Diceros bicornis minor: one gene and its partners. The protein of the gene in region 2 purifies or fractionates together with the protein of the main gene of each other region. This does not show direct contact. Links are inferred from orthologs where the notes say so. Each region holds a gene or a part of one and is shown on either strand. Other genes may lie near its edges. The genes, in order: SIRT6, CHD4, CBX3 and TOP2A.

The links.
Region 1: the proteins of CHD4 (region 2) and SIRT6 purify together in Homo sapiens (affinity purification with mass spectrometry; 3 studies listed by BioGRID, with this or other methods). This does not show direct contact. The link is inferred for Diceros bicornis minor from reciprocal best matches to the Homo sapiens genes CHD4 and SIRT6.
Region 3: the proteins of CHD4 (region 2) and CBX3 purify together in Homo sapiens (affinity purification with mass spectrometry; 6 studies listed by BioGRID and IntAct, with this or other methods). This does not show direct contact. The link is inferred for Diceros bicornis minor from reciprocal best matches to the Homo sapiens genes CHD4 and CBX3.
Region 4: the proteins of CHD4 (region 2) and TOP2A purify together in Homo sapiens (affinity purification with mass spectrometry; 3 studies listed by BioGRID and IntAct, with this or other methods). This does not show direct contact. The link is inferred for Diceros bicornis minor from reciprocal best matches to the Homo sapiens genes CHD4 and TOP2A.

Annotation. Positions count from the first base shown.
Region 1 is NW_026691553.1:3,179,586-3,186,925, forward strand, and holds the start of SIRT6 (NAD-dependent protein deacylase sirtuin-6), read right to left. Parts: upstream 3,009-7,340; 5' UTR 2,968-3,008; coding exon 2,902-2,967; intron 2,731-2,901; exon of another isoform or gene 2,386-2,730; intron 1,536-2,385; exon of another isoform or gene 1,465-1,535; intron 1,081-1,464; coding exon 953-1,080; intron 1-952. UniProt on the Homo sapiens protein: NAD-dependent protein deacetylase, deacylase and mono-ADP-ribosyltransferase that plays an essential role in DNA damage repair, telomere maintenance, metabolic homeostasis, inflammation, tumorigenesis and aging.
Region 2 is NC_080756.1:55,090,244-55,097,444, reverse strand, and holds the start of CHD4 (chromodomain-helicase-DNA-binding protein 4), read right to left. Parts: upstream 3,005-7,201; 5' UTR 2,905-3,004; intron 2,060-2,904; 5' UTR 1,982-2,059; coding exon 1,882-1,981; intron 1-1,881. UniProt on the Homo sapiens protein: ATP-dependent chromatin-remodeling factor that binds and distorts nucleosomal DNA. Acts as a component of the histone deacetylase NuRD complex which participates in the remodeling of chromatin.
Region 3 is NC_080742.1:51,188,057-51,195,577, reverse strand, and holds the start of CBX3 (chromobox protein homolog 3), read right to left. Parts: upstream 3,007-7,521; 5' UTR 2,903-3,006; intron 2,720-2,902; exon of another isoform or gene 2,626-2,719; intron 1,482-2,625; 5' UTR 1,454-1,481; coding exon 1,430-1,453; intron 1-1,429. Other genes in the region: HNRNPA2B1 (heterogeneous nuclear ribonucleoproteins A2/B1), read left to right, coding at 3,937-3,942, 6,847-6,882, 6,980-7,090, 7,266-7,412.
Region 4 is NC_080757.1:39,912,620-39,920,224, reverse strand, and holds the start of TOP2A (DNA topoisomerase 2-alpha), read left to right. Parts: upstream 1-4,590; 5' UTR 4,591-4,686; coding exon 4,687-4,707; intron 4,708-5,561; coding exon 5,562-5,717; intron 5,718-5,934; coding exon 5,935-6,025; intron 6,026-6,323; coding exon 6,324-6,387; intron 6,388-7,605. UniProt on the Homo sapiens protein: Key decatenating enzyme that alters DNA topology by binding to two double-stranded DNA molecules, generating a double-stranded break in one of the strands, passing the intact strand through the broken strand, and religating the broken strand.

The DNA of each region.
Region 1 (7,340 bases), on a different chromosome or scaffold from region 2:
CGGCTTCCTGGAGGAGGCCGAGCTGTCTCTTGAATTGTTCGAGGGAGGAGCGGGGCAGTTCAGACACAAGGGGTGAGCAGAGGCCTGGGGGGCGGGCGACAGCCTGTGAGTTTGGGGAAATGCAAGTTTGGGGAAATCCAGGGCTGGGTCACTTAAGGCTTCCATTGCCAGCCCGAGCTGCTTGGAGCTCTCCTATGTGGCAATGGGGAGCCGTGGCGGGTTATGGGAGAGGGGGGTGAGATTCACACCTTAGAATTCTAACATTCCTCCACGAACGAGGAATCTGCTCTCCTGCTGCGATGGTCTGGGCCGGGGGCCTGAGGGGCCTTGGAAGAGAGTACAAATGCAATAGGCCTGCATTATGAGACAGGGTTGCAAACTCAGCCCCTACAGGGGCCGCGCAGGGGCCGGCAGTTTGAGACCCCTGCTTTGCAGCAACAAGACCCTTATCTGACACAGGCTGCTGAAGCAGAGTGGGGTTTAGACATTACCTAGTCTCACGTCCTCATTTACAGGTGAGGAAACTGAGGTCCAGACAGTTAAGCCACTTGCCAGACCCCAGGTCTGACAGAAAAATATTTGCAAGTGAGTGTGGAGCTCATTGTCCCTGATGTCGATTTTCCCCATCTTCGAGGGTCATAAACCCTCAATATTTACCCATGCACAGCGAGCCTAGAAGAAAGACTACATTTCCCAGCATCCCTTGCAGCTAGGTATGGTCAGGTGACCAAGTTCCAGCCAATGGGTGTGCATGGAATGTTGGGTGTGACTTAAAGGGACATGTCTGAAAGAGAGGGGTCTTTCCCATCCCCAACTTGCCAGGGGGCTCACTCAGGACTCAGACAGGGGGAGGCAGCAGGGTGGGTTCCAATGCCCAGGGATCTGTAGCTCACAGGGGAGCCCTTGGCTGTGCAGCGGGCCCTGCCTCGACTTCCCCTCCATGCCCACAGACCTGAAGTCAGGGATGCCAGAGGCGGTGCTGATGCCCGCGCCCGTGTGGAACACCACATTGGAGGACTGCCAGACCAGCTTCGCCAGCTCCCACACCTTCCGCTCCAGCTCCTCAGGGGGGTCGAAGATCTGCCGTCGGGGAGAGCAGAAGGGAGGGGTCCAAACGTGTTCCATGGTGGCAGGACCCCTTGCCACAGACCGAGCTGCCCCTGCCTTGCCCAGGGGGAGGAGAATGCATCCGAAAAGGCAGCTTGACATGTGTCCCTCCTCTGCCCACAGCCCTCCAGGGCTCCCACCTCCCTCGAGGCAGAAGCCCACGTCCTCCCTGTGGCCCCCCAGGCCCTGCACGACCTATCCTCCCCCCTCCTCTCTCCCTCTGCTCCAGCCACACGGGCCTCCTCACTGTTCCTCCAACACGCCAGGCATGGTCCTGCCCCAGGGCCTTTGCATGGGCTGTTCCCTCTGCCCAGAACCCTCTTTCCCCTCAGATACCCACTAGACTCCCTCCCTCACCTTCTTTAGGTCTTGGCTCAAAAGTCATCTCATTTGCACAGCCATGTTCATAGCAGCATTATTCACAATAGCTAAAACGTGGAAGCAAACTAAGTGTCCATCGACAGATGAATGGATAAACACAATGGAAGCCATCCACACACTGGAATATCACTCAGCCTTGAAAAGGAAGGAGGTTCTGACACCTGCTACAACATGGGTGGACCCTGAGGACATGACACTCAGTGACATGAGCCAGACACAGAAGGACAGACACTGTGTGATCCCCTCACAGGAGGCCCCTAGAGGAGTCACAGCCACAGAGACAGAAAGTGGATGGTGGGGCCAGGGGCTGGGGGAGGGGAGGGGAGTCAGTGTTTCATGGGACAGAGTTTAAGTGTGGGAAGACGGAAGGTTCTGGAGACGGACGGGGGGGATGGTTGTACAACCATGTGAATGTGCTTCATGCCACTGAAATGGACACTTAAAAATGGTGAAGATGGTAAATTTCACGTTATGTGTATTTTACCACAATAAAAAAAATTGGGAAAATAAAAGTCAACTCCACGATGCCTCCCAGACCACCTGGTTTCCATGCAGCAAGCCCTCTCCTCCTCACTCCCAGCTTCACTCCCTAGCACTTCCCACCCTCTGACTTCCGATATTTCCTTGTTCCTTGTGGGTGTCCCTGCTAGAATGAGAGGTTTCTGTCTGTCTTGTTCCCTGCTGTGGCCCCAGGGCCTAGACACTGCACGGTGCACAGTCGGTGCTCAATAAATGTTTGTGGAATAAAGTGAATAAGCGGCAGGAGAGAAGAGTGGGGCTTCAGGAGGGATTCGCACTGTCTGAGAGCTCATTCAATGTCTGACTGGGAATGAACGGACCAGCCTTTATGGGACGGGGGCATCTTCCCCCCAGTTTACAGAAGGGGAAGTGACTCACCCGAGGTCTCAGTGTATGGAAGGGACTTCCTCTGGGAGTGGCTGGAGGGGTCTTTCTGACTTACATCCTCCAGGTCCCTCCCCAGCTCAAAACCCTTCCCCATCACCCTCGGGACAGGGTCATCTCCCCAGCCTGGCATTTGAGGCCCGTCCTGGCCTGGCTCTGGAAACCTCTCTGGTGTAATCTTTTCTCCAAAATGTGTTTATTCCCACCTCCCTGCCTCTGCCCTCTGCAGTGCCTTCCGCCCGCACCTACGTCCCCTGCTCCCCCATCAGAACTTCAGGACTTCCCCGACGCGGGTCTTTCCCTCTGTCCCAGCCCGGCCCACCCGGAGCTGGGCGTGTCCGCGGCCCCGGGCGCGCAGGGGGCGTCACTTCCCGCCCCCTCCTCACTGGGAAGTCCCTCCCATGGTCTAGCCTCAGTGCCTCCTGATATTCCCACAATGCCCCGCTGCCGCCCGGCCCCGCCCAGCCCGCGGCCCTGGGGGCGGCCTTCCGGACCCCCCGCCGCGCTCACCTCGGGAAGGCCGCACTTGCCCTTGTCCGCGTAAGGCGACAGCCCCGCCGCGTAATTCACCGACATCCTTGCCGCCCCAACGGGAACAATAAAGTTTCCCTTGTTGAGGCCGCTTCCGCCGGAAACGGGGCGGGACGGGGAGGAGAGAGGGGGAGCCGCATCCCCGTCCTACGTGCCCGGCCTCTCCCTTCAGGGCGCATGCGCGTCGCGATGACGCCGCAGGCGCCATCTTAACTGCTGGCAAAAGAAGCTTGCCTCCTTATCTGCGCTTGCAGAAGGCGGGAAACTGGGGCGGCCGCCCAAGTGGGAGTTCTCTGATCACCTCTAAGATGAGGGGCACGGCAATCGGTGCCCCCGATCCCTTGTTTTACAAATGGGTAAACTGATGCCCCCCTCCTGCCTCTTCTTGAGGACAGAGCCAGGGAGAAGGGACCCAGGACTCGTGCTTCCGGTCCAAAGTTCTTTCCGCTGCACATTTCAGAAGTTTATAAAGTTACAAATGCAGGGTATCTGCGCCGGGGTGGGGAGCGGGCAGGAATTTGGGACCTCATATTATCCAGACGGATGGTCATCTCCACTTGACTCATTTAAGAAACACGTACTGAACACCTACTGTGTGCTGGGGAGACACCGGAGAACAAAGGTGTCGCTTTGTGGCTAGAGGGTGGACATGAACAGGTGACCGCGCAATGGTGACTTAGTGTGATCGGGCTGCAATGAGGGACACAGAGGGCACCGGGCAATGAGGGAGCTCAGAGGGGGCACTTGACCCAGCCTGGGGACATCCGGGAAGGCTTCCTGGAGGAGGGGACGTTGCAGCAAAGATCTGAAGAGTGAGTAGGAGTGAAATGAGGAGAAAGAGCCGGTTGGGGGTGAACCGGGGTACAGAAAGAGTGCTCCTGGTGGAGGGAACAGCAGGTGCAAAGGCTGGGAGGGGAGGAAGAGCGTGGCTCATTCCAGAAACTGAAATCGGTCCAGCGATGTTAGGGAAGAAGGTTGGTGTCTTCCCGCCAGAGCCCGTTGGCACAGGCAGCTCCGCTGCCAGCCTGTCTCCTCCCTCAGCTCATCCCTGGTCCCCTGGGGCGGCCGCCCTCTCAGAGCCGATCGGGTGTCAGAGCTGAGCGCTCCGAGCTGCTGATGTGAGCCGGTAGCCCAGCTGGGAGCGAGTAACCAGAGCTGGCAGTGGCACGGTGGCCTGGTGCCGGAGTCACTGGAGCTGCAGGAGGTAGGCGAGGAGGGAGGTGAGGGAGGCCTGGGCTGGAGGCTCCCCTTAGGGCCTCGGGCTCCTCGCCCCTGAGCCTTGGTGTGTGGGAGAAAGGAGAGGCCGTGTGTGTCCCAGACACGCTGAGGAGTCACCCAGGCACCTGGGTTCGCGCGAGCGCACACACACTGGTTCATGCACGCGCCTCCCGCTTCCCGGCCTTGGCCCTGTCTAGGGGACATAGCCTCTTTTCCTGCTGCTGCCGTGAAATATCCTGCCTGGCTGTCAGGCCCTGCTTGTAGATCATCATCTCTTCCAGGAAGCAGCCCCCCAGATGAGGGCATCCTCCCTTCCCTCAAGCCCGTGGATTCCCTTTTGCCCAGGCAACCTGTGGACTCCTCTCTTGGGTGTCTTATTACACACTGCTCTGGGTGTGATTGAGTCTTTTAAACAGGGGTAAAGAAAAAAGATGGGGTGGGTGGTGAGTGAATGGGTACTTTGGTGGAGGGGTGAATGAATGGATGGGCAGTCGATGGATGGGTAGGGAGACGCAAGAGTGGATGGGTGATGAGAGGGCGGGTGGATGAATGGGTGGGTGGATGGTAAGTAGATGGGTCTGTGGGTAGCGGATGAAGGATGCATGGGTGAGTAGGTGGGTGGATATTGGATGGATGGATAGATGGGCAGGTGGATGGGTGGGTGGATACTGGATGGATGGATGGGTGTGTGGATGGTGAGTGGATGGTGAGTGGATATTGGGTGGATGGATGGGGGGTAGATGGTGAGTGGATGGTGGGTGGATATTGGGTGGATGGTGGGTGGATATTGGGTGGATGGATGGGGGTGGATGGTGAGTGGATGGTGGGTGGATATTGGATGGATGGATGGAGGGTGGATGGTGAGTGGGTGGTGGGTGGATACTGGATGGATGGATGGATGGGTAGAGGGTGGATGGTGGGTGGATATTGGATGGATGGTGGGTGGATGTTGGGTGGATGGATGGATGGGTAGAGGGTGGATGGTGGGTGGATATTGGGTGGATGGATGGAGGGTGGATGGTGGGTGGATGTTGGGTGGATGGATGGATGGGTAGAGGGTGGATGGTGGGTGGATGTTGGATGGATGGATGGGGGGTGGATGGTGAGTGGATGGTGGGTGGATATTGGGTGGATGGATGGGTGGGTGGATGGTGGGTGGATATTGGGTGGATGGATGGATGGGGGGTGGATGGTGAGTGGGTGGTGGGTGGGTATTGGGTGGATGGGTGAGTGGGTGGATGGTGAGTGGATGGTGGGTGGATATTGGGTGGGTGGATGGGTGGGTGGATGGTGAGTGGATGGTGGGTGGATATTGGATGGATGGGTGGGTAGAGGGTGGATGGTGGGTAGATGGTGGATGAAGCATGGTTGAAGGTGCATGAAGAGCCATGAGAAGCTGAGTTGAGTGGGTGAGCTGGTGGGTGGTGGCCAGCGGGGATGTGCAAGTGCTTGTACAGGAGGATGGATGCACAGATGAGTGGATGCGTGGGTAGACAGGTGGAAGGATGGCTTGGGGAATTCATGTGCAGATGGACAGATGATGGACACACCTTCACAGAAATCCCGCTCAGAACAGGAAAGACTCTCTAGCCACACACCTAGCAAAACATCCCCTTGAGATATCCCTGCCTGATCTCCATACCCGCACATGCACGGAACATGTAACAGGCCAAGGTGGACAGATGTGGGTGCACACACACCCCTCATGCTGGCATGTGTGCATACATGCACACAGCCATCACCCCAGACCTCCACCCCCCTTGGGTGCCTTGCCTCCATGCTCTCACTCATGCAGACGCCAGCCTCATGTAAGGGGACTCAGCTGCGAGGATGTTGTTCTCCAATTCCCCAAGAAACATGCCTTTGTGCTAAGAGGCCTCAGCTCTGGGCCTGGCCCCCCAGGAGCCCCTCACTGTTCTGGAAGACAGAACCAGCCCAGACGCTTCCAGCCTATGAAGCTGGGGCTGGGGCAGAAGAAGGGACCCATCCGGGGCTGGGGGAACCCAATTTGCGGAGTTAGAGCTCAGCCTGTGCATGACAGGCAAAGCTGATCAGAAAATGGGATTTTGGAACCGGGCTGTGAAGGATAAATAGGAGTTCACCAGAGAAGAAGAAGACAAAAAAAAAAAAGCAGAAATAACTGCACAGATAAAAGCTCGGAGACCAGAAAAACCTTGATCTGCTTGGGCACCAAGGAATACTAGTGAGGTGCACTTATTGAGCACGTACTGTTTGTCAGGCTCTATGCTAGGGACTTCACTGAAAACTGATCATGAGTTGGTCAAGAGGGGGTTATCTCCCTCATTTTAAGGATGAGGGAAGTGAAGCTCAGAGAGGGCAAGTGACCTGCCGAAGGACACACAGCAGTTAGGAGATGGGGGCAGGTCTGTGTCCTGCTCTAGCGGCTGGAATGACCCAGGGAAGAAGCAGCGATCCTTCTGAGGAGGGGGAGGCAGCCAACCCTCCTGCCCACCAGGACTGATACCCCTCACCCCCTGCCCTTCCCCAGGTGGCCTGGGGAGAGGAGAAACGCCGGACGCTGGCCATGAAGACTCTCCGGGCACGATTTAAGAAGACAGAGGTGAGTCTGAGGCCACCGAGATGCCCAGTGTCCCCTAACTTCAGGCTCCCATCTCCCAGGGCCTGGCTGAAGATCCACTGGGGCCTTCGAGCCGTTGTCCCTTCGACGGTTCCTCGCCACCCACAGGTTCAAGTTGAAGCCTTTAGCCTCTGGCCACATCCTCATCCTTTCGTCTCTACCGCCCCCTGCTGCCCTGGTCTTCCCACTGCTTCCTCTTCAAGCTCTCGCACCACCAAAGCTTTGCCCAGGCTGTTTCCTCCACCTGGAACGCCCTCTCCCCGCTTTGCTGCCCCTCAAACCACCCCCCGCCCCCGTCTTCCTCCCAATTCAGCTCCAACAACACTTCTTCCGGAAGATCTCTGCTCTCCCCAGCTACAGTGACCGCTTGCTTTTCTAAGGGCCCACTTTCTCCAGGACCCGGATCTCTTGCTTTCGAGTTAGCAAATATTTGTATCAGGCGCTGTTCTGGGCACAGAGGAATGAGCAGTGAGTAGGGCAGACAAACCTCTGCCCTTGTGGAGCTGATAGCGAGTGGGAGAGATGGGCAAGATAAATAAGTGAAAAGGCATATTTTGTGCCGTGGAGACCAAAAAAGCGAGGAGAGGGAATGGGATTGTCT
Region 2 (7,201 bases):
GACAAAGCACCGTCAGCTTCCCCCCCACTCAGCCTAGGATCAGGCAGGGCACAAGAAAGCCCCTCCCATTCCCTTGGGAATGAACACCAGCCTGGATCTCACCAGCAAGAATCATTTTCTTAAGGGCTTCTCCCCAGCAATCCCCATGTCGCTCCCCCCAGTCAGCTACATCTCTTGGTTCTTCCTCTTCATCACCTCCATAAAAGCTGGAAGTGGAGACAAAGACAAATACATGGAGGCAAAGGGGACACCCTTCCATCCATATAACACCCCCAAACTTTTCAGGCAGATAATGTGCTCACCTGGCAAGTGGCAAACTGACTGAGGTATAGAGAAAGATTTGGGAAAGGGACAGGAATGGGGTGTGGCAGGTGGAAAAACTGGGTCACGCTACAGCTTGGGGCAGAGTTCACCCTGGGAGCCTGCACAGCTCCCAGTCAACACAGGGGCAGCCCCAGACCAAGGCGCCAATGGGAAGCCAAGATGTGGACCCAACATTGCCTGGACAGCAGTACTACTTCTCATGCTCCCCAGAGAAAAGATAGGATCACACCACCACTACCACCCCACCCCCACCTCAGGCCACAGCACAGAAATTGGCCACCTTGCCCCACAAAAAGATGAGAATCAAGCCTAAATTTCTTATCGAAAGAGTTGAAGACTGAGTAACAAGACTGACCCCTTTCCTAAGTAGCCTTAGATTGAAGTAAAGTCTTCTGACTCAGAAAACGCCAAATGTGGAAACATCTCTCCTAGATCAACTCAACTTGCCATTGGAGCTAAGGAGAGAGGAGCCAGAAGTGAAAGATGTTGGATGGGAAACAAAAGCAGGACCAGCAGGCTCCAGAATGAAAAAAAATATATAAGCAGAGAGGATGAAGAAATGGCATGTAGAAAAAATGAAGCTAGGAAAAAGTGTCAAGAAAACAAGTAGGTGACTTAGCCAGGGGCTCTGAGGAAGGACAGACAGACCAGAGCGAGACATCCACTTAGAAGCATGACATCAATCATCATTTGAGAACAGACAAGGGCTATTCCTATCAGGCAGGGTGTTATAACCATCTGGGTTTGGCCAGTCTAAGGAGCCACCCCAAAACACAGACAGCAAAACCCCCAACACACCTACACAACCACATCACACCACCAGGCCAAACCACAGGCTACCTGCACAGAGGCAGAAGCCTCTAGGAAAGAAAGCCAGGATTACATCCACTTGTTAGGGGAGGAGAGGTGCCAAGGGTGTCACCTGCCTGCCTTTGCCCCTCCTAGTCTATCCTTCAGGCTACTACATCCTACCCCTAGCCCCCAACATTTTCCCACTCAAAACATTCCAGCAATCTGCCTGGCTAAAAGCGCTCTAGATGCCAGCTGAGGAGCGCAATTCAAACTACACACAGTTGAAAAGGCACAGAAAACCAGTAACCGATCAGAAGCTAAAAATAATCAGATAGAGAGTAACCAGCACTCCCTCTTTCCTTTCCACAGCAGCAACCACAGGATGCTACTAGCACCGATGCCTGGCTGGCCTCCTCAAACCCCACCACCAACAACCATCACACAGCCTCCAGGGGTCCCAGATACCTGCATTTCTCCAAGGACCCACACAAGGTAATGCGTGCCAGCCCAGAGAGCTCCCTCAACTGGGAACTGCATAGGATTCCTTAAGACACACAGTGCAGCAAGCTTGCATCCCGATCTGCGGAGCTCAGGAGGCACATGGCTTCCACCCCCCACCCCCTCAAGAGCTCCGCAAAGGCAACCACTCCCTTCGGATGCCCTCCACCTTAGAATGCACAGAGAGAGAGAAACCCTACCTCACCAGAGTACTAGGGAGGGCCCAAATACCTCCTTCCTGTCCTGGGCCCCTGGGGAAGATGTTACCTGGGTGGGGTGGGGGCAGGCTGTTGTTCAAAAGTGCATCCATATCCTCCTCCTCACTGCCCGCCGAGCAGGGGGACGGGGAGCCCAGGCCCGACGCCATCCCCTTCCGCTCCCGGCCAGGGAATTGGCCCAGCTGCTCCTGCCTGCGGCCTGGGGCCCTCTACACTGGCCCGAGTCACTGCGCGGGGGAGGGGGGAAGAAAGAGAGAACAGTCAGTGACGCGCACTGTCCCCCTCCCCCATACCCCCCGCTCTTTCCGCCCACCACCACCCCGCCCCCCCCCCTCCGAGTAGGGCACCCGGGCCACTCAGGCTGAACTTAGTTCCACACTCCTCGGGGGCAGCCCGGAAGCCGGCTCCCCAGCTGGAGCCCCCAGATGAGCAAGAGCGACACCCCCGAGGGCAGGCTGGTGCAGGCAGGGGGCAGGAGAGAAGCCAGGCTGGACTGAGCAGGGTGTGACGGGGGGAGGGGGTCCGAGTGGCCGCAGCGCAGGGGTAGCCGGGGGAGGCGGCAGGCGGCGAGGCGCTCGGGGACACAAGGTCACTTGGGGGTGGGGGGGCGCCTCCGTTCGCCTGGGGAGGGGCCAGTCCCCAGACAGCGCAGCTCTCCAAAGGCTGTCCTCTGGGACAACTCAGGTTCTCCTGAGAAGCCGCGGGGACGAGGGGGCGTGGAGGCTCGGGCGCTCCGGGGGGCTGGAGGCAGGGACGCGGGGGGCGAGAGAGCTCCCACCAGGCAGGGGGCCGGGCCACGTGTCCCGGGGGGCAAGTGAGCAAAGGGCGAGGGGGCGGGCGCCGGGCACTGTGGGAGCCCGAGCCGAGGTGGGAGTCGCGGGGAGCCAGACTCCGGGTTAGGGCGGGGGCGGGGGGAGGGGGCGCCCTGCAGGGAAGGGAAGGATCGGCTCCTGCGGGCAGGGGGCGGTCCGTGGGTCGAGGGACGCCTGAGGAAGGGGTAGGTGGAGGGATGACCCTCGGGACTGGTCGGGCTGAGAGGGGCGTCTCTTTGGGAACCCCGCGCTCTCCTCACCCCGGAGCCGCCGCAGGTCGCGCTGGGTCCGGCCCGGTGTCACTCCCGCTCCGGCTCCTTCTCGCCGCGGCCGAAGGGGGGAAAATGGCTCCGGCTCCGGCGTCGCTTCTTAAAGGGCCCGAAACACCGGCCGGGAAATCCCACCGCACAGGCCCCGCCCCCCCACGGACAGCCCATAATAACCTCAACCAACTTCAACCCCCCCCTCCACTACCGCCACCCTCCTCCCTAGGTCTCCCGGGCAACCCCCGCCCCCTCGTCGCTCAGGCAACCATTGGCCACGCCCCCTTCGAGCGCGCGCGCGCGCGTCACCCGGGCAACCACCCACCTCCTGGCCATCCCATAATACACACGGACACCCCCTACACACTCCATACACAAGTATGCCAAGGCTGTTGACATCTCATAATATTGCAGACCTTTTGCAACTAACTCTTCCCCCCCCAGACATCCCATAATAGCCATCCTTTGCCAACTTCTTCACTCTTGGCCCCAATGCTAACATCCCATAATAATCCGTCACCTCTCCCTCCCCATGGCCATCCCATAATAAGCACCCCTCCCAGCACTTCGGCCTCACATCCCATAATACTCATCCCCATCCCCCATAGACATCCCATAATAACCACTCTTCATCCACCCCCAGTTTGATATCCCATAATAGTCAGAAACTCACCCCCCCACACACACACACACAACGACGGACACTTCGGCCTCCTCCCACACACATCCCGTAATAATCAGTCTCCCACTTTCTATACTGACATCCCATAGTAACCAACCCCCTGGAGCTGCCCTCAGCCCCTGCAGGCTAGGGTCTAGATGCTCACACCACCACCCTCAGCCTTCACACACTCATTCTAGCTCCACAGCCCATGATAACCACTCCTCCCCTATCAAAGAGATATCCCATAATGATCGGCAGCCCTACTGTGACCCTAGATGGACATCTAATCAACTTTCCTCTAACGCTGGAAAGATATCCAGTAATTTTACTCCCCCACCCACACCCTGACATCCCATAATAATTGCAGGGAGCCCATGATCAACCAGACATACCATAATACTCTCAGCACAACCCAGTGTTACATCCCATAATGCTTCATCTCCACTCCACCACCCTTATACCTTTCCAGCCAGGCATCCCATAATATTCATATTCATATCTCCCCCATCTCCAGATGCTGTCAGTCTATTCTAACTGACAGTGTGAAGCAGGCTACCCACACTGCCCTGTCCTTGCCCCAACTTGTACACACCTTCATCCCTTAGTGGGCCAAAGCAGTATCTTGGCATAAAGCCTCTTGATGTCTAGGATGGACCCTTGCTTCCCTCATCCCATCATTTCCAGAGACTTAGGAACTGAGAGTCAACCTTGGGCCCCACCCAATCCTGCCAAAGTCCAGATATTCTCCAGATGCTTACCTCCAGCTCTTAAATTTTAAGTAAGACCAACCAAATACCATGCTGGCCAGATGAGCCACTTACATCAAGTTTACTTCATCCCAGAACATCCCATAATAATTACAAACTCCCATCTAAAGACTATTTCTCAACATTCCAGCAGTCCTCTTTCCACCCACCCCCTCCTCCCCAGGTCAGGTGGTCCTTTCATCAGTACCCCTAGGCCACTCCCATGGATGGACATCCCATCATGATAGGAACTGAGGATCTTGCTATATACACACTAAGAGCCAAGACCTGCCCTCCCTCTTCTTTGCTACTCATGGTCATTCAACAGATGTTGACAGAGTACCTAGCAAGGCACAGAGCTGGGCACCATAGGGAATGCAAGCACCATAGGTACCTCCCTTCAAGAAGCATAAACAACCAAACCAACCATGAGATAGAATGTCTGGTGTCAAGGAAGAATAACTGAGTGCTATTTCCCAATTTTCTGTTATAGAGAATAAAACAAATCCCAACTGGTCTCAGGAGAGATCAGATCCCAGTAGAGGTTCTTGGTGGTTCTTCCAGAGGCTGGAAGGTATTCCAAAAGGATTTACAAGATAGATGGATGGTCAAGATAATCCCCTATCTGTTCCCTACATACTAAGGGATTTTGATCGGAAAGCAATGTTCATCCAGCGTTTCTAATACTTAAATCCTATAGTATCATCATGTGCTTCCTTCTTGAGACTCACCAACATGCCAGAATTGTTATCCTCATTCTTAAACACCAAATTCTGCTTACCCTCAATGTTCTATATTTTTCTCCCACTTTGTTATTCCTGAAGTCTCATGATAATTCCAACTGCCCCCATCCTCATCTTGCTGAGGCACCACTCTACAACGCCCAAAAAACCCTTCATTGTATAATGTTCACCATCTTCCCCTCCCCATGTACAAGTCAACATTCCAGGATGTCTTCTTCATTCAATTATGCCACAAGGTAGCCTCTCAACATATACCATCCCCTTCCCTAACTGCGCCTACCCTGCAGCCGCCCTGGGGACCCAGCCTCAGAAAGTCAGAGAGCCCAATCTTCAAACCTTTTGGCCCTCAGAGAACCTGAGTCCATAAGCCTGACATTTTTCCCTCTTCCTGACCCCCAAAGAAACAGGACCTGAGTGAAAACCAATGTTCCAACACCGCCGCCTTTCTGCATCCTCCCCCACACACAGCCCCCAAGCCAGAGATAATGTCTTCCTCTGCTCTCATGTGCCTTTTCCACACAAGTCCAAGACCTATGGCGTTGGGACAGGTTGAGGAGAAACCAGAACTTCCTCCTAGGAGGGGCCCTTCCCGACCAGAAGTGAGTAGGACGAACCTCACACCATCTCTACATTGCCCTCCTAATCTCACTTCCCTAGAGAAAGAGCCTGGCCAGATGATTCTCCCCTCCTCTGGGAACCAAAGGACTGGAGAACTGGCAAGGAGAAATGAGTTCAGGAAAGACAAGAGTTTGCTTCAGGAAATCACCATCCCTTTGCTTCCAAGCAGAGCACCAGTGATGCTGATAAGTCTTTCCACCAGCTCCTACCTGACTTAATTCCCTAGACCACCCTTTTGCCACATCCATTGTGGCATGCAGGCCACTTCCCCCAGTAAATTCTCTTGACATAAAATCGGTCCCCATTCACTTGTGCAAACCCTCCCCCATGCTTATTCTGAGTACTAAGAATGAACTTTGTGCTCCTCACTTGGGGCAGAGGGGGCAGCTCTTTTAAGATACCACGATGTGGGTATATCTCATTTCAAGAAGCTTCTCTTTGGTATATAGAGCTGCCAGATACCTATTACACCCTTCTCTCTCCCCATTTCTTTAGGGGATCCAGCCTGCCTCTGGGCCTCATATTCCCTTCTATAATATCTCCATCTGCCCCATAGCCTTCTCTTCTCATATATATACACCACATTACTACACTGATTCATGATATAAACCAGGAAGAGAGTTTTAAAACTGGGTAGTCACAGCCTATTGCCTGTGATTACAAACACTGGTAACTTCTGTCCACCCCAGCCCTCTGCCCTATCCCTGCAAGTTCTACCCACTCACTCCCTTGCTCCTCTTATCCCCCTCCTCTCCCTGATACCATCACAGGGAGAAGGTTAAAGTCCTTTCCTCTCTTCTTGAGTTCCAGAGAGGGCTAGCATCTGTGTGTTTGTGTGTTGCTTTTGTGGTCTTTATGCTTCTAGGCTCCCCCTCCCTACCCTGGCCCCATACTACTCTCCCAGATCAATTATAAATAAACCACTAGCATGATTGGTCCACAGAGACTAAGGGTGGGATAATCTCCTGATTAATGCACCCAGGGGGACAACCTCTCTAGCCAGTTACCTTAGAGTTCTGTTTCCATCCCATGGTACAGAAGAACCTAGAATAACACTCAGAGTGGTTTGTCCAGGGAGTTTTCAGCACGTGCTCTATAGTTCCTCTGTCTCCATCTCCAGTCTGTGTGAGCCCCAGAAACTCTGCTCATAGGATGTCTAAGGACCAGCATTCTCTTGCTCTGTCAGAAAAGGGGGTTTGGGAAGACAACCTAGAGCAGAAAAGCCACCGTGACAGTGCACTCTGATGGCTAAACAGGATGCAGGTCATACAGGGCTTGTGGAGTGACCAGACAGGCCTTTGTCCTTCAGGAGCCAACCAAATCTCAGTTCCTTCGGTGTGACTATAAGGTGGCAAAACTCCCCAGGCCCAAGCCCGCCACCAGAGCCATGGTACCAAGGCTCAAATCCAAGAAGGTGAAGAGGGAAGAGAGTATTTGGGTGCTGTGATCACCCAGAAGCCCTGCTCCCTTTGGTGTGCACACAGCCAAAACCCAGGTGTTCTCACTGCCAGCCCAACACTGCA
Region 3 (7,521 bases), on a different chromosome or scaffold from region 2:
GCTAATTTCAAGGGCTCATTTGTTTCTTTTCAAAAGAAAATTCATTCACTTTACCATTTAAATTATAGCACACATCTCACAACACTATTTTAAAATGAAAAGTCAAATAAAAACTTTTAAAGTTGTCAATATGTGATCCCCTACAAAAGAATATTTAAATACCAGTAAGTTACAGACATTGAAAACTATCAAATTATATGCAAAAGCAACTTAATTTTAATGGAATCATCTATTTGCTTGCTTTCTGTATCTATACTCATCCTCAAAGCCTCATGAACAGCTAGTTCCCTTCCCCACCAATACTTGAACACAGGTGTTCATAAAATCAATTTATTATCTCTACTTTCCTTTACTGATTATGGAATTTGAAGGACACTTCCATCCTGAGGGGGCACAGAACATGCTAAGAGCTTTTCCCACTGATGGCTTTGATGGAACCATTTGTGCCACAGAGACTCACCACATAGGCTTTATAGTTGTTTTTGTTTCCCAGGAAATTTGACTTAAATGGGCAAACCTATGATGGCACAAATTAAAATCACCAACTTGCCCTTTTAATTGTGAAACCCAACAGACAATACAAACTAAAACCAAATGTTTTGCTTTATTTAGATATTAACACTCACCTTTATATGCTTTCGATTATTATTAACGCAGTGTTAGAATTAAATACTGTGGGAACCGTAACTGAATTTCGTGTTTTTTTTAAACTTCTAACTTGACATGGCTTTTACACATTTGCAGAACTTGTAATGAAGCCTGAGAATGCAAACTTTGGATTTAAGAAACTGCTAGAGACCAAAAATTGCTTGAAAGATCGAGTCTTTTCTCCTTCCTGGACATACATGATTGTGTTCATTTTGTGTATTACCAGAACACTGCAATTATTTAATTTTAAGGCCCGTCTGACTTTAGAATAAGCAAGTCTGAAATATGACAACGTGATGAAAGTAATTTGGAAGATTCACTTTCTGCCCCAATCTAAGTGTACAAGGTGCCTGTTTTTGACACTGGGCAATACTGAAAATACTTGCTTTCTCTAGAATTCAGTACAGTGATTTAGAAAATATTATGCCAATCAACAAGACTTTACTGCTTTCTCTATGCTTGTAACATATTCTTTCATGTTACATAAATTTGTGCATTTGTATTTCAAGATAAAAATACTCATTAAAATTCACATTGCGCTATCCTCCCAAGATTAGGTTTCTTTCAATGAATTAAAACACTATCCAGGCAAGTCAGTAAATATCTCAATGTAACGACTTCGTTTTGGCCCCTAATTCTCCCCATAACAACACTGGGGAGAGAAGGGACTGGGGAATACATATAGATGTAAATTTCTGAACCACAGAGACGCAAAGTTATAATTTTTGGGGAAAAAATTTTGAGTTAGATCCTTACATATTTCAGGTTTTCATTAACTTACCAATGTAGTTTTATTGGAGGCCATTTTTTATTGCAGACTTGAAGAGCTATTACTAGAAAAACGCATGACAGTTAAAAGGAAGTTTGCACGACACAAAAAAGGTAGCTAAATACAAGTTTTGTTTGGATTCCAACCCCCACCTATGTAGCCCATATTATCAAACATGTATACAAATCCATACAAAAGCAGATTTAAGCTCCTGCGTAAATTATTAGAGAGAATATGCCTGAGAATATATCAGTGTTCTAACAGCGAGTCTAGAAAACCTTACTGAGGTCATTGGGACTTGAAACAGCTTCGCTGGCCGAAAAACAGTAGACAAATATGTTTTTTCAATTCAAATGCCATTTATACATATTCAGTATTCTTTACAAAATGGCCAAATATTTTGGTTCAAAATCGGACAATTTCCTAAACTACCGTGAATTTTTCGTCGAGACCTCTTAACAGTCCAAAGAGTCGCCTATGTAATCCCAACTTGGTTTCTTCTTAGAAACCCTCCCTCTTCCCAATCACTAGTTAAAACACTAAAAGAAAAACACACTGAGATGCTTCAGGCCCATTTCGTGCCACTTTTGAAAACAAGTCACCTCTTCGGTACGTCCATATGCTCCCAAGCCCCAGGCCCCACCCTGCTGAATGCGGCCTAAACGCCGGGCGCCCGCCCCCCACCCGGGAGCGCGGGCCTCGTGGTCAGCGCATCCGCGGGGAGAAACAAAGGCCGCGCGCGGGGGCTCAAGGGCACTGCGCCACGAGGCTCGCGCCTCGCCCCCGGCGGCGGCCACATAACGGAGCGCCCGCCGCAGCCTCCAGGAAGCTGGCCGCGCGGATGCGGGAGAATGCACCGCCCTCCCTGGAGGCCCCAGTCGCCGGCCAAGCCCGGGAGGGGGAGGAGGGCCCCTCATCGTGATCCGGGATGGGGGAGGGGAGAGGAAAATGCGCTTTGTCTAGAAATAAGGCGACTGTCGCCACGACTCTCCACCTTCTCGGGGACAGTCTCGTCCCCCACTTAACTACAGGCGTCGGCGCAGCGCCAGGCCCGCCGCGGGGTCTCCGCTCGCCTCTCCGCTCCTTCCCACCAGCTCCCGACTCGGGGTCGGACGGGAAGCAGGGGCCAGGGGGTGGGGAGCTGGGGCGCATGTGGTATGTTAAGCGCCACCACCGAGTGAGAACTAGAGAGAAAGAAAGACACCGACTTCACCGCCTCCGAGCTGCTCCGCGTCCCGGGTCTGCAGCGTCTCCGGCCCTGCGCGCCTCCAGCTCCAGCCACATCCGAGGGGGAGGGGGCTGGGGAGCAGCGCGCGGGGCGGCCGCCGGGGGGGGGGGAGGGTGGCACCGCCCACGCCGGGCGGCCGCCAGGGGCGGGGCAGGGGGCGCGCGCCCGGCGGGGGGGAGGGGCCGCGCGGCGCCGCGCCCGCCGGGAGCCCGGGCCCAGGGGGCGGGGGGGAGAGCGGTGGCGACAGCGGCACTTACCGTTCGCGGCGTGGCGCCTGGTGGTCCCCGGAGGGGAGGAAGAGGGAAGGAGGGGCGAGGACGCTGTCCAGAGTCCTCTCGGCGGAGGCGTTTTTGCTTCGCAGCAGCAGCCGCTGGCGCCAAAACCGGACTCCGCCCACTTCCTCGCCCCTGGGGGTGCGTGCCTCCAAACGTTGGGGGTGAGAGGATGAAGATAAATTTGGGTGGGGGGAATCGGACACTGAGAAAGAGTGCCCCTTTCGGACCACCCTCTGCAAAGACCTTTTCTGAACCCGAGGGGTCAGTCCCAAAGACGTCGGCCAGGGTTAGGTTGGTGGAGGGTGAAGTGTAATTTGTTGACTACAGTCGCTTCGGGTGTTTCCGGAAGGGGCCGAGTCAGTCCTCGGCGCAGGGGAAGGGGGTGGGGGAGGGAAAACGCAGGGGGGAGGCTACAAAGATTTTTAAGGCGGGAGAACGGGGGCGAGGGGGGGCGGATTATCAACGGCGTTGCTGCAGGGACCACCTCCTGGGCTGAGGGGGCTGGACCTGAGAGCTGCGGATTAAGCTCCTCCCGGCAGCGTTCATTTCAAACTGCGCGACCGTTTCTTACCTGCCCTGCGCTAAGGCGGGGGCTGGACCCAATTCGGAGAGAGAGAAATACGCAGGACTCGCGCCTTCCGCAATTCACTGAGCCCATTTACGCAAGTGACGTCAAGCACCACCGCTGGCCGCAAGGGGGGGAGGAGTACGTACTTGGCGTAAGGAGGAGGTAGAGCGTTCCCGCCATTGGCGGCGGTTAGGGCGTTTACGCAACGGCCTGACGTAGGGGAAGACGCGTTAGTCGGGGGGAAGGTTCTAGAAAAGCGGCGGCAGCGGCTCTAGCGGCAGTAGCAGCAACGCCGGGTCTTGTGCGGAGGTGCTCTTAGCGGTGTTGTTTCTCGAGCAGCGGCAGTTCTCACTACAGCGCCAGGACGAGTCCGGTCCGTGTTCGTCCGCGGAGATCTCTCTCATCTCGCTCGGCTGCGGGAAATCGGGCTGAAGCGACTGAGTCCGCGATGGAGGTAACGGGTTTGAAATCAATGAGTTATTGGAAAGGGCATGGCGAGGCCGTTGGCGCCTCGGTGGAAGTCGGCCCCCCCGCCTCCGACGGAGAGCGGCAGTGAAATCGGGCCACTTAAGAAGCGGTTGGTCGCAGGATATTTTCGAAGAGGGCTGTTAGCGGAGGCCTGATTGTACAGCACCTTCCCCACCCTCAGCCTCCCGGCGCCATTTCCCTTTGCTGGGGGTGGGGGATGGGGAACTTCCACATGGCGGACGCGGCCCGCGGTAGTGAAAGCGGAGCGCCGAGGCGGCAATTCTTACTCCCCTCGTGAAGCACGCCGATTGGGGGGCCCCGGCGGCCCCCGTTTGAGCGTTTCGGCGAGTTTCGGGTCCGCGTGAGCGAGGCTGCGGAGCTTCCCCTCCCCCTCTCTCCCGGGAACCGGATTTGGCGGCCGCCATTTTCATTTCTCTCCTTCCTCGCAGCATTTTTCTTTTCGACCTCTGAATTCTGCTAGTTTGATTCTTTTACCGAAGAAGAGAAGTGGTTAACTAATTTTCTTTCTTCTTGGGCTGTTTTCATGCCGTTTCGAGGTGGATTCCGAGGGTTTTGTGAGCTTGGATCTTTAAAGTCCTGCGCACCTCGTTAGAGGCTCCCTCCCTTCCCCTCGATGAAATGGCGCCATTGCGTCCAGAAGCCGCAGCGAGCAGCGGGCGGGGGGGTTCCTCCGGGGCCCGGGCGCGCGGCGTCCGAGGAGGTAAAGCGAGCGAGGGTGGGGGGCCGGTTTCAAGCGAGCCATCGTACAAAGAAGACATTTTGTTTTCCAGTCCTGTTTCTTTGAGTAACGGTTTTGTTTGGGCCTGCAGTGATGAAAAAGACAGTTGAATCGCAGGAAACTTGAGAAATAAGTCAGAATTTGGAACCGTCAGATTACTACCGACTGCGTGGGTGGCAGCGGGGAAGGAGGTGGGGGGGACTTTTTCCTGAAGGATTCCCTTAGAATGGTAGAATTTATTCCTTTTTTAAATACTATTTTTTCTGGGAAATGTGATCTTTACTGGATAAGACTACGGATCCTTGTAAATGATGTTAGAAATTTTGAGGAGAGTGAAGAAAAAAATTGAGTTTATTCTTAGTGGTACTTCGGTTAAAACATGGCTCAGTCCTTCAGTGCGTGTATTGCTGTATACAGAACTGTGTTAGGCTAGGCCGCTCTGTATTTGAACTTTGTCACTTTTCTCATTTATGTTTGCAATCGTGGTTGATCATTACATTGATAAGCATAAGGTCTCAAGCGAAGGGGGTCTACCTGAGTATTTTCTTTGACCCTAAGCACGCTTAAAAAATAACTTTGTTTGTAATCGATAGTGGACATCGGGTAAGTTTGGAAAAAGCAGAGGTAAGTAATGAGTTTTTGCCTTTTGTTGGTGATGTGTAAAAATTGTTGTAGATGTGCTTTTTAAAATTTCCGTAATTTGGGTTTTAAAAGACGTGTTTACTGACAGTATTTGGTGTAAAGTGAAGAATCCAAATATCAATATGCCGTATAATTAACCATTTTGGTAGTTTTAAGTAAACATCTCGGGAGCTAGTTTAATAGTTTGTTAATCTTTTAAAATTTTTCAGAATCCTGAAAATAGTTAACTATGTAGGAAGAAAATCTGTAAATTGTTTCTTATCGCTGTATTTTTTGAGCTGTTGGGAGAATATCATGCGTTGAAGGAGAAACCTCCATAGAACTGTGGGTTGAGAGCTGTAATGCTATTTGCTGGGAATAAGTTATCGCCTGTTGTATTGAAAATTATATTTTACATTTTAATTTGTATTATACACTTACAGCAGATTGTCCTGGACGTTATGATTTATTGGGTTTCTGAATATTTTTAATTTTTTAACCTAGTCACCTGGAAATTATAATGATGCATTCTTTAACTGAGAGTCCCAAATACAGGGCTATTAATGCAACATAATTGCTTGCTGGTTTATAGGGATTAAAAAATTTCAGCCTAGCCTTTTTTCTTTTTTATTTGTGAAATTAGATGTAACTTGTGTAGTTTGCCAGGTGGCCACTAAGTTAAATACACTTGAGGTTTCGGGTTTTTTGGTAAATGAATTGAAGTGTAAATGATAGTTAAATATGTAACTACTGAATAGTCACAGTGGTCATTTAAACGTTTTTGTGGTTTTTGGGAGAAAATGATTACATTCATTGTATTTATGGTTATTGGTCCAATAATCGGATTGTTTCTGTACTGTCATTTAAATAACCAAACATGGGGGTGCCCACAAAAAGTCAGTTATGTTAAAACTTGAAGCTTTAGACACCAACGGTCATTAAAAAAGTCTGCCTTGGTCAGAAGAGAGGTAAATTTTAAGGATGTTTTGGAGCATATACTGAAGGTTTGAATTTTTTTCCCTAATCGAGAGTTGGTGTATGGGAAAGAATGATCTTTACCAGGGGGTTTTTTTTTTTTTGATGAGATGCATTAGAATCACCACCAGAGGGAGCAATGAGGGGAAAATGTCACTTTTCAGATATACTGAATCCAGAAGTAAATGGTAAACTATGAGTTATAAGTAAGGAACCAACAGTTTTTATGTTTAAAAAAAAGATTTCAACTGAGCTTTTAAAAGTTAACTTTAACTTCTCTGTGGGATATAGGATTGAATGCTAATTTTGATGAGAATCCTTTAACCCTTCAATGACCAGGGAGTAGATTTGCTTCTTTCTCTTCAGAAAGTATTTTTAAAAATAAGTGATAATAAATTTGTTTGAAATAATTTAATGTCAAGTAAATTTAGATCAAGCATTAATGACTTTGAAACTTGTGTAGTTCAGCTGAGGCAATTTTTTTGGTGTAACACAACTAATATGCAGTTTAACATATGGTTTAAATTTGATGTAAGTTTTTTTTTTCCCCCCCAGAAAACTTTAGAAACTGTTCCTTTGGAGAGGAAAAAGGTACTCTGCCAGCAGGTCACCTCATATTTAAGAATTTAATTTCCTGCATACAAAGAGAAAATGTAAATAAAAATTGAAATGGTGTTTTCCTTTGCAGAGAGAAAAGGAACAGTTCCGTAAACTCTTTATTGGTGGCTTGAGCTTTGAAACCACAGAAGAAAGTTTGAGGAACTACTATGAGCAATGGGGAAAACTTACAGATTGTGTGGTACGTTAAATGTAAAAGTGCCTACAGATAGTAGTCCTTCAGCTGTTGAGCTTCTGTTTTTAAAATGTTAAGTGAGTTGTGGAAAAAATCACTTAAATCAGCCATCAATTCGTACTGCTAGTTCATAACACAAGTAATGAGATCAAATGCTAACGTTTCCCCTTTGGTCGTATAGGTAATGAGAGATCCTGCAAGCAAAAGATCAAGAGGATTTGGTTTTGTAACTTTTTCATCTATGGCTGAGGTTGATGCTGCCATGGCTGCAAGACCTCATTCAATTGATGGGAGAGTGGTTGAGCCCAAACGTGCTGTTGCAAGAGAGGTGAGCAAAATATAATTTCTTTGTGCAATAAATGTGAAGAAAATTCTGTCCCACTGAAAATTAGAATGTAGTTTTTGGAAGAACTAACTAGATGCTGTGTATCTAGCTG
Region 4 (7,605 bases), on a different chromosome or scaffold from region 2:
CTTCAGTTTAGAGGTGAGGAAACCGAGACCCAGAGAGAGGAGGAGATTTATCTAAAGTCATGCAAATAGTGGCTACAGAGCTGGGCTAGGACTTCCCACCACAACACACTGTCCCTCAGTTTGGAGTTTTTCTAGAGTCCTCACCATTGGGTTCACTTAAACTGCCAGTTCCCCCATTTTATTGAAAATCTATCTCTAGCTACAAAACATAGTCTCACACAAACTTGTGCAGACAGGTATGCCTTGCCTTCAGTGAGGTGGGGAAAAGGGACACAGGTGAGAAGAGTATAGGGTATGGATGAAAACCGACACTTAGAAAGTCACATATTGGCAAAAGGTAGTGGACACAGAGAATTATCAAGACCCACAATTACTGAGAGAAATTTTTTAAATTTTGTATATTTAAGCTAACTTTTTACATTATAAAAATACTACATGTCTATAATGTTAAATTTTTCAAATAGAAGAGAAAATATGAAAAGTTTTCCTCCTCCTCCAACTATTTACAATTCCTTCCAGATGTTTTCACTGAATACATAAACATTTACTCTAATGCAATTATGCTCTACATTCTATTCTTCACCTCACTTTTTTTAAACTTAACAATATATCTTAGTGATATTTCCATATCAGTATATCTAGATCAACTTCATTCTCTTTAATAGCTGCATGTCTTTCCATTCCATTAGATTGCTGCCAGTTCTTTTCTAATAAAAAACAATATTGCAATAAATAACCTTGTGTGTGTGTATATATATATCTTTACACAATTGTGGGAGTGTATCAATATTCCTATAAGTTAAATTGCTGAGTCAAAAAGTGTGTACACTTTTAAAATTTTGATAGATACTGGACTGCCAGACTGCTGAGGGAAACACCTGATTGGACTTGTTGGGGACAAATCCCTGGTCCTGAGCTGATCCCTGCTAGAACTTCCCTTGCTCTCCTCCTAGCTCTGTCTGGTGGCCCTCAATGTCCCTTTACCTGGGGCCACTAGTGATCTGAGGAGCAGACCTGCAATGCCACTAGCAGAGAGAGGCTGAGCTCTATGGGACATTTTGGGTTTTCTTGGCCTCCTCCAACCAGAGGCTGGTATCCCTAGTAAAGAGGACTGATCAGACCCTGCCAGTCATTAACCTCAAGGTAAACAGGGCCTATTGGCAGAGCCCTAACCACCCCAGTACCCTGGCGCTGGCCCAGCCTCATTCAGGAATTTCCAGTGAGTTCCAGCCTAGCCAGCTCCATCCCCCAAATCCAGAGCCACACTTTCAGCCCAGCCGCCTTTGCTCAGTCAGCCCGCAGGAGGGAAGAAACACTGCCCTTTCAAAGGGAGCTCCCAGGTGGAAGATGGAGACACAATTCCTTCAGGACCCCCCTTCCCCTGACACAGAGTGGAGAGACAGGAAACACAACATTTATCAAAGGAACTCATCTGCGTATGCAAATATACTCCGAAGGACTTGAGGGGGCCTCAGTAAAAAAGATGGTCTGAGAAGACTCCCTGGACAGGGGAATTTTGAGTCGGTTTTGGAGGAAAGAACTTGGAGAATTGACAGGGGAGTGGGAGGAAGGTCTTGAAAAGTAGAGGTAATAACTGCTAACATGTTTTGAGCACTTACAACTCGCCAAGCAATGCACTAAGCACTTTACATGTGTTATCTCACCCTGTGTGGAGGTACTCATTATCCTCATTTTAGATGAAGAAATGAAGGCACGGAAAGACTCAGTGACTTGCCCAGGGTCATACATTTACCAAGTATTGTAGTCAAGAGTCTGACCCAAGTACTACTGAACTTGGCCCCTACGAGTGGGGGCAGGGATGGGGACAAGGTCCAGAGTAGCTAGTTTGGGCCCCTGCAGAGTTGGCGGAAAGTGGGAGGGGCCGGGGATAACGAGGATGATGGCTGCCCCTTCTCCCCACCACAGCCCCTGGAACTGACTCCCGACCCCTTCTTGCCTTCCAGCACTAGCAAATGGCAGTCACCTGGAATTCCCTCTTTGTAGACAATGCCTCCCAGGTCCGCCCATCCCAGACTTCCTTCAGTGGCCCCCTACAAGTCCTGCAGGACTCCCTGTGATAGGCTCTGGAAAGGAGGAGAGGCTGACAGAGAAATAGCTTGTGTTCCCCCACAAGAGAAGGGCCCTCCAATCATCCCACACACATACACACACCAAGGACATTCTGTGCTAGAGGTCTGGAAGATTGTTCTGGGTGCTTCCATATTTCATTTAGCCCTCTATACCTTTGATAAAGGCTAATGACATGGGGAAACTGAAGCTCAGGGAGATTTCTGACTTAGACATATGTGACTCAAAGTCCTTTTGACTCCACAGTTCTGCTTCTGGGTTTTTGGAACAGAGACCCACACAGTCAGGATCAGGCTAAACTGCAGGGGAGATTTCAAGCTGGGTCCCAGGAAATAGGGCTGGTGCTGCTTATTAAATTCCTGTTGCCTCATCCCCAGACAGATCTCGCAGGGTGCTGCAGGCTGGGATGAGCTATAGGGTGGGAAGCCAAGGGAGGCAGAGGCTGGACTGCCATCCTTGGGGAAGCAGGCCCACCCTCCCCTACCACCTGGGGCCTCTGTGTTCCAGGAGGTAGAAGGCAGCACAGCTGGTCTCTGACTATCAGGGTCATCCTCTGTCCTGGGAAAGCTGCAGAGAGTGACAGGCTGGCCCTGGAGCCCAGGGCCTGGTCAGCCTTCTGATGGGCAGACGCTACTGGATGGGCTTCCCTACAGCTGCTCTGAGACCCTGGTGGTCCTGTGCATTGAGACTGCCTTCCCCTATCAACACATGTGATGAGCAGAGTGGAGCTGAAGACACTCAGGAATTACTGGAGGCCAGGAGAACCAGAGGACAGGGACCAGAGCAATGCCAAAGCTCCATTCCTTTGGTTTTCCCAATTACCCTAGCCAGTGGGCTACTTCCATCCTTGACTACCTGTCACAACACACCACCTCTGCCCTGGCCCTCCCTGGGGCTCTGCCAGCAGAGTGGGCATTGAACATGCTGGAGTGATTCAGTAATTGGTTGACCTCTGATTTCTTTTATTTATTTATTTATTTATTGCTGAGGAAGATTTGCCCTGAGCTAACATCTGCTGCCAATCTTTCCCTTTTTTTTCCTTTTTTATGTGAGCTGCCGCCACAGCACGGCTTCTAACAGACAAGTGGTGTGTGTCCACGTCCAGGAACCAAACCTGGACCACAGAAGCGGAGGGTGCAGAACTTAACCACTAGGCCACCGGGGCCGGCCCTGATTTCTTTGAGAAGAAAAAAAAAGAATTAAGTCCACAAATTGTCACGGTAACCTAAGGAAAAATCCCTGCTTCCTGATTCTGATACTGTTAGCCCACTATTCTAAATGTCTTACATGTATCTTGTGTAATCCTCACGCAACTCTGAGGTGATACTGTTATTTTTATTTCCTTTTTTTAGCAGAAGAAAGGAAAGCACCAAGAAGCTGCCTCCGTCAAGATCACACGGCTGGCAAAATGCCAGGCCAGGATTAAAACTCACGGAATAGTGATTGGAAGGAGGTGGTTCAGATGGTCAAATTATGCGGTTATTTTTTCCAGCATCTTGTAAGAGCGTGTTTTTTTTTTGGGGGGGGGGTCATTTGAACACTGTGGATTGACGAGGACAGAATAACCCCCCTCGAAATTTACACGTCAGAGTAATAAAAAACTTCGGTCTTTGGCATTTCCTCGTCAAATCTCAACCGCTGTTCTGGACCGCAGAATTCAGGGACTTGAACACAGAGGAGAGCAAAAGTAACGCATGGTAGGGCATCCTATTGGCAGTCTGAGGGGAAAGTTCCAGTCCTAGAACGGCCGCTAAACCATCCTTAGCTCCTGAGGCGGTGACTATAAATTATTCCTTTTAATTGAGCAGTTGCAGCCCAACGCCCCTCTACTGGGGGACTTGAATGCTGCTCTCTATTTTGCGCGGCCTCTCTACACCCTTCTTTATACGAAAACTAAAAACCACAACTGTAGCACTTTTGTTTCTCTAAAAACACGCTAAATTCTTGGGGGGGAGGGGAGGTTGAGGAAAAGGTCAGATCCTGTTCGCTTAACCAAATCGCCAGGAAGCCGGCGCTCGGTTTCCTCAGGAAAATGGAGATAGCGCTCCCGTTCCTCTCACTAAAAACCTCAGGCCGGAGGACGGCGTTTAGATTTCAGGGATCTGAAACAAGTTAGCAGCTCCTGGGGAATAAACATCCGTCTCCTTCCTCTTTTCACCCCAGCCTGCACCTCAGAAAACCCCTTCCCGCTTCCACAGTTTGTCTCTTCAGAGTTTTCTGCTCTGAGAGAACAAACGAGCCCTCCTCATTGGCCAGATTCCCTGTCGGTCTCTCAGCAATTGACTCCGAGTGGTGTCTTTTGAAACCTCCTAGTCCCGCCTCCCCTGCCTAATTGGTTCATTCGACTGGGCCAACTCAGCCGTTCATTGGTAGATATAAAAGACTAGCTACGATTGGTTCTTCGGGACGGAACCGGTGAGACCGAGTCAGGGATTGGCTTATCTGGTTTGGGCGGGCAGGAGGATGGTTCAAATGGGACTGCAGGAGCTCGCCTAACCGACGCGCGTCTGTGGAGAAGCCGCTGGCTCCGGGGTCGTCTCGTGCGTCCCGCCGGTTTAGTCTCTTGCAGGGTTCTCGAGCCCCTTCCCGACCGTCACCATGGAGGTGTCACCACTGCAGGTACAGCTCGCGGAAGAGGCGGGTCGTGGAGCGGTATCTCTGGCTGCCGGTGAGGGGTGAGGCTCCTGGGCTGTGGCCAGGCCGCGGTGGGCTGGGAGCCGGTATTCCGTGTCGACCGTGGTCTCCCGGGCTCGGCGTGATCGTGAGGAAAGTGAAACCCCCTTATGGTGCTAATGTTGAAGCATTAGCGGCTAAACGGGCCCCTAGGGCGTTGTGTCTTGTGTTACTGTTTTTAAGGACAGGATTCACTTGGTCCTCTAGTAGATCTGAATTACAATGGACCGCGTGTGACTTGAAGCTGCGCATACCAATGCTTTCCTCTCCTACCCTCCGCTTGAATAGGGCGTTGAATGTCTCTGACCTTGGAGGGTGCAGAGCACGGCACAATATTCCCCTTAAGGAGCCGGCAGGCCCGAGTTGCTCAAAATATGTCCTTCCAGTGTTCAAAACGTTAACTTGGCCAGAGGATTGAATCGATAGCCTCCCAAACGGCTGCTGAACTGGAATCTGTTAGTGCCTGGGACGTGGGAGGCACTTAGTAAATATTTGTGGCACAGGTGAAAGAAGTGGGTGTATTTTATTGATAAATAAAAAGTTCCGAGGAAAATATTTCCATGTCAAATACACTTGGTGAGATCATATGTGTCTATTCAAACTGCCACCTGGGGACCTGGCTGCAGTTACCTTAAAAGGCCGTGTTTGCACAAAACAATGTAAACGTCGCCAATACCTACTGACAGATTGCAATTTGTTGTAGTGTGTGCAAGCATATCATTACGGTAGACGTTTCGTTTATAGTTTCTGATAAACCTATGATTAAAAATCTCTTTTCTTCAATTTTTTTTAATTGCTAGCCCGTAAATGAAAATATGCAAATCAACAAAACAAAGAAAAATGAAGATGCTAAGAAAAGACTGTCCGTTGAAAGAATCTATCAAAAGAAAACGCAGTTGGAACATATTTTGCTCCGCCCAGACACCTACATTGGCTCTGTGGAATTAGTGACCCAGGTAAAACCAAGCTAATGACATGCAGTTAGTAAGTAGTTAAAATGTATACTTTGCCAGGTTAATTTTCTACACTTCATGTACTTTGAGTGTCACTGGAACTGGCCTAAGCTATCATATATATATTGTAGTATTTACCCCAGAACACTTTATAGTAATCATGATGATAAAACAATAAACATAGGGTAAAAATGACTATATTTCTTTGCCTTATTTCTAGCAAATGTGGGTTTACGATGAAGATGTTGGCATTAACTATAGGGAAGTCACTTTTGTTCCTGGATTATACAAAATCTTTGATGAGATTCTAGGTGAGTAGATTCTTTCGTATAAAGATCTACCAGTCAAATCCTTCATAAAAAATATTCCTTACTGTAGCCAGACCTTCTGTTATTTCAAACAATAGTTGGCAAAGGTGAGACAGTCTACTGAAGTCTAGGAAGTTGAATTCTGTTCTAAGAACAGTACTCTGAATAAAAATTGCTGAATTAACACCTCATTAATGCTACTCCTGTGCTATTTGAGATTCTTCTTTCTATATCTTAGAGTTAAAGAATGTTTTTTTAAATACTTTAATTTCTTACAAATGTGTATTTTATTTTCTTTCAGTCAATGCTGCAGACAACAAACAAAGGGACCCAAAAATGTCTTGTATTAGAGTCACGATTGACCCGTAAGTCTCTTGGTCTTTTGTTTGTTATAGCTCATTGTTACTGTTAGTTGCATTTACTTGATTTTTAATGAGGTTGGCTTTTTTAATTTTATTTTTTATTTTATTTATTTATTTATTCCCCCCGCCCCCCAAAGCCCCAGTAGATAGTTGTATGTCATAGCTGCACATCCTTCCAGTTGCTGTATGTGGGACACGGCCTCAGCATGGCCGGAGAAGCGGTGCGTCAGTGCGCGCCCGGGATCTGAACCCAGGCCGCCAGCAGCGGAGCGCGCGCACTTAACCGCTAAGCCACGGGGCCGGCCCGAGGTTGGCTTTTTTTAAATGAAAGTTTGCAAAAGCACAGAAAGGCTAAATGCTAAAATGGACAATCTACGATACCTACCACCTAGTTTCAACAGTTATCAACACTCTGCTATATTTGCCCCATCTATATTTTTTCTGAAGCATTTAAAAATATATTACAGACATTATCCCACATCATCCCTAAATACTTCAGTAAGCATCTCCAATAATTGCTGTAAGTATTCTGGGGTCTAGATCTTTTTCTCCTGATGCTATTCAAATAGTAAACCAGCAGGTGGTGACAGAATAATTTGATCTAATGTTTCAGCTTATAAATATTGGGTGTCCTTTTGTGCGTGGTCAGCATCCTTGTTTCACCTTTTTATTGGCCTGATCAATTATAACATAAACTATACTTAAGGCTTTTTTTGGGAAATGTAGGTGTTAATGATGTACTTAAATGCTCTTAAGGACTCGATATCATTGTCTTAAAAAATAATGAGCTAGTTTTAGTCTTTTTTATAGATAATACTAAGTACTACTTAGAATAAGAACCATTTTATATATTATCTTCTGAAAATTAACTTAAAATAAGAGATGAATAAGTCCAAGTAAATGTTTAGCATTTTATTGGCAAGCAGGGAAGGTTACAGTTGATAATGTTTTTCCCTTTCATATTTGTTTTGCAATGTGCTTTGTAGGATGGAAAAGCTAGGGGAGCCAGGACAGTACAGATGATCCTCCTAAAAGCGGTATAATAATATTGTTTCCAAATTTTGTCCTTTTCTTTCCATTGGGCATAAATCATTTCCCTTTGTTTATCCCAACATTTTAAAACTTCATATTTTTTCAACATTATCAGTGTCTACCCAGATGTTGGAAAACGTTTAAGTTTTTCTCCTTTTGGCTCCTATTTCAGGAGTGGGATAGTGGGAA